Mus musculus: one gene and its partners. The protein of the gene in region 3 interacts with the protein of the main gene of each other region in a pairwise test. Links are inferred from orthologs where the notes say so. Each region holds a gene or a part of one and is shown on either strand. Other genes may lie near its edges. The genes, in order: Hnrnpm, Hnrnpul1 and Hnrnpf.

Evidence for each region.
Region 1: the proteins of Hnrnpf (region 3) and Hnrnpm interact in binary tests that used the Homo sapiens proteins (3 or more experiments, as listed by UniProt). The two-hybrid records come from large-scale screens. The link is inferred for Mus musculus from reciprocal best matches to the Homo sapiens genes HNRNPF and HNRNPM.
Region 2: the proteins of Hnrnpf (region 3) and Hnrnpul1 interact in a two-hybrid assay, tested with the Homo sapiens proteins (3 studies listed by BioGRID and IntAct). The link is inferred for Mus musculus from reciprocal best matches to the Homo sapiens genes HNRNPF and HNRNPUL1.

Annotation. Positions count from the first base shown.
Region 1 is NC_000083.6:33,682,613-33,686,744, forward strand, and holds the start of Hnrnpm (heterogeneous nuclear ribonucleoprotein M), read right to left. Parts: upstream 2,847-4,132; 5' UTR 2,768-2,846; coding exon 2,655-2,767; intron 1-2,654. UniProt on the Homo sapiens protein: Pre-mRNA binding protein in vivo, binds avidly to poly(G) and poly(U) RNA homopolymers in vitro. Involved in splicing.
Region 2 is NC_000073.6:25,723,713-25,727,301, forward strand, and holds part of Hnrnpul1 (heterogeneous nuclear ribonucleoprotein U-like protein 1), read right to left. Parts: intron 3,192-3,589; coding exon 3,023-3,191; intron 2,503-3,022; coding exon 2,212-2,502; intron 1,133-2,211; coding exon 843-1,132; intron 1-842.
Region 3 is NC_000072.6:117,905,298-117,909,623, forward strand, and holds the start of Hnrnpf (heterogeneous nuclear ribonucleoprotein F), read left to right. Parts: upstream 1-1,484; 5' UTR 1,485-1,542; exon of another isoform or gene 1,543-1,812; coding exon of another isoform or gene 1,813-2,544; exon of another isoform or gene 2,545-2,621; intron 2,622-2,806; coding exon of another isoform or gene 2,807-2,908; intron 2,909-4,326. Other genes in the region: uncharacterized protein 4933440N22Rik, read right to left, coding at 1,813-2,544, 2,807-2,908.

The DNA of each region.
Region 1 (4,132 bases), on a different chromosome or scaffold from region 3:
CTCTCTTGGCCTCCATGTACATGCATGTTGTGCATAGACACATACGCAGACAAAACATGCATTCTCATAATATTTTTAATAAAAAAAAAAGCAAGCTAGTGAGAAGGTTCACTAGGTAATATACATGCATACTTAACAAGCACGAAAACCTGGGTTCAAATCTTAGTCAAAAGGTGGGAAGAAAAAGACACTCTGTGCTTTTAAAAGAGTTTGTTTCAAGAACTTTGTGATGCAAAAATAACAATTATTTTTCACCCACACTACAAAACTAAGTGCTGCCACTTTCTCAGGTATCCTCCATTAAGCCAGTCTGAGACCACTCAGGTTCTTTCCCACAAGGGCTATTTCATCTGATACTTCCTATGCACATTCTGTCTGTCAAATGACTCAGCCACAAGTTATCTATCTGAATACAGACAGTGGAAATTTAAAACTGTACCATAGGACCGTGTTCTATTAAAAATGCAATCTTTCATATAGAAAGGCTCTAGCGGCATTGCATTCTATATATAGGAAATAATTTTTTGCCCCTGCAACAGGGTTTCTTTGTGTAGCCCTGGTTGTCCTGGGCTCTGTAGACCAAGCTGGCCTTGAACTCAGATAATCACCTGCCTCTGCCTCCCAAGTGCTGTGATTAAAGGCATGCATTACCACTCTGGACAGAAATTAACTTCCTTAAAGCTTTTTAAATAAGGCCCTCTGAAATCCTAGAAAGTGAACCAGACGTGGTAGTACACACCTGTAATTCCAGCAACTGGGTGGAGGTGACAGAAGCAGAGGCGTTGTTCTGAATTCAAAGCCATCACAGTCTACACTGTAGACTCTACAGTTTGCCCAGGCATCTAACTCAAAAACTGAAAACAACAAAGACTAGAAGAGGGAATCTGATCCTACAAGGCATCTCTATGACAAAAGCTGAAAAATCTGAACATGAGACTAACTAAAGGTGCTCAAGTGTAGCTCAGAGGTAAGAGTGCTTGTCTAGCATCCTCAAGACCCCGAGTTCCCAAGAGGATGGAAGGGAAAGTTAAAAATGAGCACACTCCTAAGCTGAGCCTTTCTGGTAGTAAAGAGAGGCCTCTTTATCCTTTTAGTACTATGGGGTGAACCCCAGGACCTTGTGCATCTTGAGTAACTACTCTATTAATGGGCTATAATCTACACACTCATACACGACAGGCAAGTACTTATGTAGCTTAGGCAAATCTTGAGCCGAATCAGCTCTGGAACTCACGCAGCCTCTCCAGTGCTGAATAACACACAAGAACCAGTTAACCAATGGTGTTTTACTTCTCCCTAACTAAGATAAAAGATATGAAATTTCCTCCAGTAACAAAATAGCCATTACTTGGTAAATGCTTCACTAACAAGTGTTTTAAGTACTCTCAACTCCCAGAGTCCTAAAACTTCCCACCTTATACATTTGATGGAAAACAAAAATTCAGAGACATGGGCTGCTGATTTTAGAACCAAAATGTTTCTCCAGACCTCCTCAAGCTGATATATTAGTATATCAGTATGAGGAGAGTTTCACAGGAGCAGAATCTTATGGTTTCCTCCTTGAAGAAAACTTTTTAGGGCTCAGAAAGACCACCCTGTGGTCTGATATTAGGAATCGAATCTAGGGACTTTGGAGTGCCAGGTTATTGCTATGTTTTCATCCCTCTTTTTGAGAGTTAGGGTCTAGCTCAATTTCCCAATGACTAAATGGCAACCTAGACTGAACTCACTCTATATAGTCTGGCCACACTTTGCACTCTGGATCCTGCAGCTTCCCACTCCTCCCAAAAGGCTGGGACTCCTCAGGCCATGCTAGGACACTTATAATAACGAATCAAGGTCCCTAGACAGATCTCCAAGCAGGATTCCAAAAAAGGGATGATGACGTCTGTCTATTTTAATTTCTGAAACCCCGAAGTGGTGCCTCTACCCGAACACTTTAGGTCTGTTGCTAAGGATGAACACTGAGCAAGCAAAGACCATTTCTCCCATTGGTACCAACTGCACTTTAGGAAGTAGGACTATAAAGAGGGGAAAGAACTCCAGCCCAGGAGCCCGGGTCCGGGGCCATTCTAATGGAAGAAGCACTTCTTGCAGAATGAGGGTAACACCGGTGTCTCGGAACCCCGCAACAAGAGTCATGTCGACACCTTCCGGGTCGCGCCGCCGACCGTACACGTGACACCTCGCACGCGCAAGCCTCCCGCCCCTAACTTCTCAGATCTGAGAAACTGAGACAGAATACTTCCACTACTATGGATTGTATGCTGAAGGGTTGAAACTACACAGTCTTAATGGTTCAACCCTCGAGACCCCAGTGAGAGGTGCTGCGGGCCCTGATCTCCCGCAGCCCGCGCGCCATCACTGCTCTGAGAATAAAATACCAGGCCACAGGCCTGAGGCCTCGACGACGCGCTCAGACAGCCAGGAGGCTGAGGCAGCGGAGGCAAGCGCTGTCGGCAGGGGGCGATCCATTAGGCTCTCCTGGCTTCGTCGTCGTCACAGCCTTGGCCGCCCCCAACTCTCGGCAGGGAAAAGGCCTGCGCAGACGCCGCGCCGCCGTGGGAGAAGAGAAAGCGGCCCACAGACCTAACGGAGCTGCGAAGTAACCTGGCTGGAGTTAGAGAAGGATCAATTGCTGTTAGACTACTCACCCCTTCGGGCCCGGAGCTCCGTTGCCGCTCGGCACGCAGGGCGCGCCGCTCTCTTCCTCCATTTTGGGTTCTGTCGCCGCCACTTCGGCTGCCGCTTCGACCCCTGCCGCCATTTTCTCCGCGTCTGGGCTTTGTGTGAGGGAGCGGGCTCTGTCGAGCTGCGCCTGCGCGCTCACGTGACCCCGAACGACCAGTAACGCCTCCTTGTGCGGCGACCGGCTCCCGCTTCCTGCTCGCCTCGGGTCACGCCCCCTGGACGTCAGGCCACGCCTCCTCCAGTGGCAGGCCTCACTTCCCGATGTCCGCAGATACAGTTGGGTTGTGGGACAGGGGGAGAGATATGTGTCGCTCATTCGAACTTACAATACGAGCGCACATACGGACCTAGTCGGTCCAGCTTACTTTATATTTTTCCGTTTTGTTTTACTCATTAGCTTTCTTTTTTGAGGCAGGGTCTCACTATGTAGCCCTCCAGCCTCTCCCTACCTACCAAGTGCAGGAAATAAAGGCAAGCACCACCACGCCTGGCCTTTTCTTTCTTTTTCTTTTTTCAGCAACTTCATATATGTATATCATGTATTTTGCGCTTGCTTGGGGTTTTGCTGTTGTTGTTGAGACAGTTTCTAGCCAATACTGGCCTTGAATGTCTGAGCTGCCGCCTACACCTCTTGAGTGCTAGAATGATAGGCCAGAGGAACCAGGCTAATCAGTGCTAGGAATTGAACCCAGTGATTTGAACATGCTAGCAGTCTATCAACTTCAATCCCTGACCCTATACTGTTCTTTTATCATATTCACCTACCATTGCCCTTTTATTTCCCGCATTTCCACTGTACCTTCTTTCCAACAAGTTCCTCCATGTACCTCCTTGTCTTTGTTTTATGACCTACTGAGTTGGGTTTGCTTGCAAGAGCATAGATTAGGGGTTGATTTATTGGGGCAACTAAATAGGTGGCTACAACACTGAGGAAAATGACACCTCTTTCCTCCAGCATCTACTACCAATAGATCTTCAGGGAAGGGTGAAGCCTCCCAAGGCTCCCCCACCCCAACATGATGAGGTTCTATCTTGTGCAAGTAACCACAACTGCTTTGACAATGTCCGTGGCATGTCAAGGAGAGATCAGCTTTCCTTAAATGGAGAAAAAATATAAAAATTATGTTGGCAGGAATTATTTTTATTGGGGGGGGGATGGAGGGGGAATGATTGAATACAGGCTTTGAGCATGCCATGGCTGGCATGTGGGAATTGATTTTCTCTTTCCAGTAATCAAATTTAGGTTGTCAAACTTGGCAGCAAACATCTTTACCCACTAAGACAGAGCCAACCCTGCATGCAGAATTCTTGACAGGTTAATATCAAACTAAAACTCTCCATGTAATTCAAAGCATTAGAAGAGATGTATAACAGAAACCTCCCTCCCACCCTTTTCCGACTCCTCTTTTCCCCTTCTTTCCCCTCCCTCCCTCCTATTCTA
Region 2 (3,589 bases), on a different chromosome or scaffold from region 3:
TGCACACAGGTGGGGCACATACAAACACATATAAACACACACACATAAAGTAAATTTAAAAAATAATGAACTCTAAAAAGAAAATCTAAGCGAGGTTGTTGGGCCAAGTCACACTATTAGAATGACTAACCCAGGTCTGCCCAGTTCCAGAGGCTTCATTAAGCTACAGTCCCCATCACCTCACAGAAACTTCACAAGTGATTCCTAGTAATGTTTCTGTCCTTTATGTGGAAACAAGGACCAGAAGGGTCAAGCTGACTGTCCCAGGTCAAAGTCAGGTTCTGTTGGAGCTAGCGCTGAACTTAAGTCTTGCCAAACTCTCATTCTAGGAAATGTGCTGGCTGGGTGGCATCTAGGAGCACTCATCTGCTCCTGGCAAGTGTTCCCAGCTGCTCCCTGGCATGTAATGGGTACTCAGACAGCTGTGAAATAAAAGAGATGGCTTCAGTTCACCAGAACCCAGGCACTGGCTTCCTAAGAAATGGAACAGGGTCTGGAGCTATTAAGGGACAAGGTCCTTACTTATCTACCTTTGGACCCTGGCCTCCCATGATGGGCAAAAGGTGACTCAGTGGAGTGCTTTCTTATAGACCCAATGAGGCCAGTGACAGCCTAAAAGACATGATCTTGCTGATGGGAGCCAATGCTTGCAGCTACCTCCACCTTTGGGGAAGAGGGAGAATCTAGCCATTTCTATGTTTGACACAGCTGAACAGCAACTGCAAGGGAAAAAAAAAGGACAGGCTGGAGGGAAGAGAGCCGCAGACCCGTGGCCATACCTCAGACCTGCCTCCTCTTCTCAACACAAGTGCATACGTGTACAAACATACACATGGCCTCACCTGTGGAGGGGTGTAGCTGCTCACTGTAGGGGTGCTGGTATTGGCGCTGGAGCCAGGGATGTTGCTGTTTTTGTTGTAGCTGCTGGCTCCCGGAGGGTTCCGAGCAGGGCTATAGCTAGGTGGTGGTGGTGGTTGTTGTGGTGGTGGTTGTGGTGGCGGTGGCTGTTGTGGTGGTGGCTGTTGCTGAGGAGCCCGGTTATAGTTGCCTCGGTTGTTGGAGTTGTTGTTATCCCTGTTGTTATTACCCCAGCGGTTTTGGTTGTAGCCACCACCTCCGCTGCGGTTGAAACCTACATTAGAAAATCCATAAGAGGACTCAGCATGGCTGGCTGTGACCAAGACTGAGGTCAATAAAGCAAGCAAATGCAGGTGCTGCATCCATGCCTCCCCCAGGCCCTCAGCACACTTCCTTGTTCTTGCCCTGACACAACACCTAGAGTCACTGCAGACAGGTCTGTGCCTTCCAGTGGACTGTGAGCAGGCAAGGCACAGATGTCTTAGATGTGTTCAGCTCCATGTAACTGTTCAACAAATTAGAAAGGTGTTCAGGAACAATGCTAAGCAGCAGTAAACAGCTGCAAGCTAGTCAGATTATAGTCCAACAGGCTGGGCCAAGTGGCCTCTCTTGAGCCATTGTACAACTGTTTCTTGAATCTGTACCCTCATCAAACCAAAAGCAGGCTCCACAGAGACCCTTCCTGAGTTGCTTATCTACATGAAGGTTGTTAATTTGGTGTCATGAGGTCACAACATCCTTGGTCACTGAAGGGTCTAGAACATGTCTGATACACAGTTTTAAAGATGTGTTTGAAAGACATATTTTTATTTGGCATGTGTATGAAGGGATTGCATACTGTAGAGCTAGAGTTATAGGCACTTGTAAGCAGCTCAGTGTGGCTGCTGAGAATCAAACCTGAACCCTCTGGAGGAGCAACTAGTGCTTTTAACTGATGGGAGAGGTCTCTGGTCCCACATTTGTTAATTTATGATCACACTTTACTTCAGACACCATACCATTTATTAAGAATTTAGATTTTAGCTCACTGGACTCCCAGCTCAATTTAGCTCTGTGATCATGGGCAAATTAATTGCTCTAAGCTTGTTTCTTCACTTGTTTTTGAACAAAAAGCAGTTCTAATATTTGCCATTGTGAGATCTACAGATAGATCCCAAGATTCCTCAGAGAGTGTACGGTCAGATAGGGAAAGACCAACAAAGAGAGCACTGCCATGTGCAAATGGGCAAAGGCATCAGTGCGGCTGGGAGACCAGGCAGTGGGAAGGCCCAAGGCTGCAGAGTAGTAACTCCCATCAACCGGTTCCCACAGCCTGGCCTCAAAACACAAGGCTGGAGAAGGTAAATGTCTCACCTCCTCGGTAGTTGCCTCCTCCACCACCGCTGCCACCACCACCTCCCCGGTTCTGGAAGCCTCCTCGGTTGCCTCCAGGAGGGCCTCGGTTGTCATACCGCTGGAAACCGCCGCCGCCCCCACGGCCTCGGAAGCCTCCGCCTCTGCTGTCAAAGCGCTTCTCAGGGGGCGGGCCGGCCTTCCGGCCTTCCTCGTTGTATTGCCTCACCAGCTTGTCTGCCTCCTCCCGCTGGAGCTCAATGAACAGAACCTCATCCAGGAAGTCCCCGACATCAGGCAAAGTGAAGTTGGCTGGGAGGAAGTAGAAAAGGAGAGCAGGTCAGCACCTTCTGATGTCTGGTTCTCTTTACCTCAAATTATTGGTTCACTAGAGTAGGAAGGCTGAAGGAATGAGGTTAAGATGGGACCCCAACTGCTTGGTGTAAACACCGGCAGGGGCTAACAGACTCTTCCCCAGAGAGCAATTCAGGTCTCTCCAGCCTCACCTCAAGGTGCTTCAGAGGCAATGAAGCTACACCCCATCTCCTCCCACGGTGGAGCAAACTGAGGCTTGCCCAAGTGCTGGGGGCCAGAGGTGGGAGATGGTGTACGTCTTTCAGCTTGGGCTCTACACACACTTTCTTTCTCTCATGACACCCATCCCCATCCAGCCTGAAAGTCCTTCCCCAGCTGGAAGCCAGATCCCTCACATGTGGGTAACGGGAGACACAAAATAGAAACAAAGACCAGACCACAAAGGAATCACAAGGAGCTGAGAAGGGCCTTGTCTTGAAGATGCTGTTAAAATGGCCCCCAACCACTCATTTCCTACCTTTCATTTCTAAGACTGCGTGATCTGGGACATCCTTCCCTTCTTCGTCCGTTCGCTTTACTGTGCGGTCTTTGAGGTCCTCATCAGTTGGACAGATTACAATAGCTTTCCGCTGGAAGCCTTCAAACGGTCTCATTTTCCGTCTCTGGGCTGACCCATAAACATTGGTCTGAGGTAGGTAAGAGGCAGAGATTGGATACTCAGAGCCATCTCTCTTGCAGGGCATTGTGCAGGGAAACCATCAGAAAGGTAAAATACGAATCCTCCCAGCACAGACTCAGGAAATAGCTCCTTTTCACTTTTTGAACTCATGTCCATCTAAGCAAATGAAGAGACTTAGGAAACACAAAGAGGTTGGCTCCCAATAACTGGGCTTTCTGTTAATCCTATTTGTTACTGGCACTGTAGTTTAGAAATCCTTTCCCGGGCTGGTGAGATGGCTCAGTGGTAAGAGCACCCGACTGCTCTTCTGAAGGTCCAGAGTTCAAATCCCAGCAACCACATGGTGGCTCACAACCATCCGTAACGAGATCTGACTCCCTCTTCTGGAGTGTCTGAAGACAGCTA
Region 3 (4,326 bases):
CTTTAATCTCTCACTTTATGCCTCAGGAGGCAGGGGCCGGTGGATCTCTGAATTGGAGCCATAGTGAGTTCCAGGACAGCCAGCTTTACAACAGAGATACCATGTCTTAGGGTGGGGGTGTGGGGAACCAAAAGAAACAATACAAAACAAAACAAGAGTTGGAAGCCAGCCTGGGTTGCAGTCAGACAGAGGGAGCTCAAAAGTGAAACCTCTGGCTGTAAAAATCTGGGAACTTCAATTTGACCCCTGGAACTCACCTAAGGGAAATGAAAATACTTGTGAAAAGTTGCTCTCTGGCTTCTTCAAGGTTAGAAGTCACTTGCACCTTTCTCTGGCAATAGTAAGGAACTTTAAAAATAAATAAAACCACCCAAGGAGCAGGGTGAGAGGTCTCAGCAGAACTTGCTGCACAGGCCTTTCAACCTTGAGTTTGATCAGGACCCCACATGGTGGAAGGAGAGAACACTCAGGATTGTCCTCTGACTTCAGTTGAAAGTGTGGTGATAACTCGCACGAACTTAACAATTTTAATGCCCCACTCCCTGGGCAAACAAACAAACAAACATCAGAGGTGGGGGATGTAATTTGCCAACTACAAGGCTCTGGGTTTAGTGCTCACGAATACTTATCTAACTTTTGTAGCATCTGTTTTCTATCATTTGACTTCTATTTTTCTTCTTGGACAGGTTTTCCTCTCAAAGTTTTCTTTCCTTTTTCTGGAGTTAGTCTGGTGTGTTGTTTTATAAACGTTTCCTTCATCACTGTAGTTCACTTATAACCAGAGATTATTCTGAACGGCCTTGTAATTTCTCCAGTGTTTATATAGACAGCAGCTCGCGACCATGCATTGTAGCCTCGGCCGCCTCCATGCAGAAATGGAGTTCGTAGGAACCAGCTCGTGTTCCTACGCCCGCCTAGGCGGCTCTGGAAGCTTCAAAAATAATCTTCACTTTAGCTTGTATCTCGACATCTCGCAGAGAATCCTCCCAAATTATTACACATCAAGAAAATCTGTCCCAGCGTTCACATAGTGCTGAGAGTTAGAAACTTCAGACAAATCCCTCCGGACTGCCTGAGATGCCCTTAGGCGGTCTTTCTTTTACATAAGACACCATTCTAGTTTTCCGCACGCATGCGGTCATTGATTCCTTTGGGATCACTTTTCGGGATGCGGAGACACGCGTGCAGAATTCAGCGTCCACCGACTCACCAGCCCACAGGTCTCTTTATGGACAACCCCCTCCACCTTGCTGTCTCCCCCCCCCCCCTCGTTTGCCCGCCCCCTCCCCCTGCTACCCCCCCCCCGCAATGTTTGCGCCTGCGCCGTCACTGTCCTCTCCGGGACTCAGAGGCGGGTCCACAGCTCTCTAGTCCCGCCCCTCTCCCTCCCCCGGCCAATCCTAGGCTCCGTTCTGGGCTCGTCAGAATGGCGCCGCGGCTGCCCTGTGCCCGGATGTCCGCTGCCTGAGGCTCCGCCCCATCACCGTCTTGCATCCTTCCGGCTCCGTCGTGGAAGGAGGACTGCGCCTCGTCTTCCTGAAGGTGGGGTTCGGGGAAGGCCAGCCCGCGGTCACGCCGGCTGTGGGAAGGGAAAGTGGGCTCCCCGGGCTACTGTTTCCGGGTGCTCGGGGCGTGGGCCGAGCGGGGAGCGGACCGGGGATCAGGAGGGCTTCCGGAGGCGCCGCTGGCGCTCGGCAGGCGGGAGTTGAGGAGCAGGCCGGCCGCGCGGTTGACTCGCCCCGCTGAGGCCGTCCCGCGAGCGCGCCTGTGGGGGTTTCCATGGTGACAGTAAACAAGCCTCAACTGCCTCAGCTACAACTGCCAAGTCCCCGGGGTTCCACCCTCCTCTAGGTGCTCTGAGGGCCGGCGAGGTCCGGATGTGAGTGGGAGCGTGGAGCCGAGAAGCCGGAGGTGAGGGCCGCCGGCGGGGTGTGCTGGCGCCTGGGCCCGGCGGGCGTTGGATGGCGGGCGTGGGATCCGGACTCGGAAGGAACGGGGCCGAGGTGGCCGCCGCACAGCCATAGCCGTGCGGAGGCTGCCCACGGAGCTGGGGACCGCGTGGCCGGGGTTTGGGGTCGGGAGCCGAAGTTCAGCGCATTTTCGACGGGGATTGGGCCGCGTGGCCGAGGTGTGCGGTCGGGGGAGCGGGGACTGAGGGCTGGAGTCCGGTCGGTAGGGCCGGGCCTCTGGGCTGAGGTGTGCGGAGGGCCTGGGAGACCGCAGCCGCGGCCCACGCCCGCCCGGAGAAAGCGCGGCTTTCCTCAGAGCCGCCCCCCCACCCCGCCCGCAGGCGCGGCTTCCTCGGCGGGATATTGGGGGGGGGGGTGAGGGTGGAGCGCTTCTCACCCACCGCGGCTTACGCTCTGTCAGCGGCCCCCCGGCAGGCCCGGGCGGTGGTTGTAGTTTGGAGAAAGACGAGCGGGCGCTCACGTGGCCCGAGGCGCCCGGAGTTTCACAAGACTGGGCGGGACGGCTCCGCCCACCGCCCACGCCCGGCCCGAGCGAAGCCGAGCGCCTCGCTTCCTCCTCGTGGCGGCCCGGGAGCTAGGAGCACCGGTCTGCGCCGGTCCCGTCCCCCAGAGGTATCGTGTTAGCGTGTGGGGTGCGGAGTCTTTGCCTAGGTGGGTTAGTCGGCCTTAGCCGCAGTTACGAGCACTTTTGTGCTGTGTTTGTGGAGCCTCACGTGTCTGGGAAAAGTTGAGGTGGGCCCGCTCGGCCTTCCCTCGGCGCGTGCTCTCCGGAGCCTTCCCGACCCGGCGGGATCGGAGAGGCAGCCCCATGTGCCCTAAGACTCCCACCCAGCGACCTTTTCTGCCCCTGCCAGTCCGGGAACAAACAAATGGGCCTCTTTCCTACCTGCAAGTCGGGCTGCGGAGTAAGCGGGCGAGCGAGCGCGGGTGGCCGCCATGTGGCTGTGCGGGATCGGTCTCCTGAACCTGGGCAGTTTTGTTTACGGAACTTTTGGGCTTATTTTAGTCGGTTTCCTTTAATGTTTATTTGTGCGTGGAGGTGAGGGGATAAGGTGAAGAAATGGATTTTTCCAGCACTGGGTCCTTGGGATTGAATTGAGGGTCCCTGTCACAATGATCTATCGCTCTGTCCAGGGGGTGGTTTAAATATTTAATTCTTCTAGTTGAACAAGACAGACGATATCTGGAAATAGTTAATACTTAAGTCTTTCTTCCCTTCGTGCTGCGGAGTGGAGGTCAAAACGTGGTTCAGTTCTTCCATCTGTGTATTCAGACTGAGCGCAGGTAGCTAAGGTCTGGCAAAAAGTGCGTTAGCCCATTGAACAATGTCGAAGTACTTTTGAGTACGCCGGGTGGCTATGCATGCTTTTGCGCTCAGCGCTCGGAGGTAGATCTCAGTTGAGAACAGTCTTACAGACCAAATCCTGACTTAAATTTTGAACTTTCTGCTTTTCTTATCTCCCTCGTGTTGCCATTAGTCTTACCAGCCTTTTTTTTTTTTTTTAAGTTACAAATCATTATGTAGCCACAGAGGATGACCTTGAATTCCAGATCACTCAGCTCCACCTCTAGATTGGAGTACTAACTCGACCACACCCCATTAGTAGTTACTGGGCATGGCAGGCTTTAGGCACGCTTTGTCAGCCCCATTCTGTCTGTATTATGCCCGTTTTTGTAGTAATTTTTAAAAAAGATTCATGGTTTGATTTGAAGGAAGGCCTGGGCACACTGGATCTAAAAGTAAATGCAAAAGTGATTACTTGTTTCTTGAGGTAGGGTCTAACTATTATATTACGCCTTGGCGCAAAATTACTGTATATTTAGATAAGGCTGGCTTCAAACTCAAGCAACACACCTACTTTTGCTTCCATAGTGCTGTGAATTGCTGGCATTAAAGGCATGTATCACGAAGCACAGCTAATACAAGGGGGTGTGTGTGTGTGTAACAGCTTTCTTTTGTTTTTCGAGACACGGTTTCTCTGTATAGCCCTGGCTGTGGCTGTCCTGGAACTCACTTTCTAGATCAGGCTGGCCTGGAAGTCAGAAATCCGCCCACCTCTGCCTCCCAATTGCTGGGATTAAAGGTGTACACTACCACGCCTGGCTGTATTTTGTACTTTTGAGATGTTTGGTTTTGTTTGGGGGGGGGGTTATTTTGTTCTTTTTGGATTTTCAAGACAGGGTTCTCTTTGTAGCCCTGGCTGTCCTGGAACTCTGAAATGTTTGTTTTATATGTGATTATATTTAAGACTTTAGTAAATGCCGAAATAAAACTACTGACCATTTGCTTACCAAAAAAATTTCAGTTCTCTGTGTAACCCACAAGTGAATGGTTGTGGGCAGATGATACCAGTAA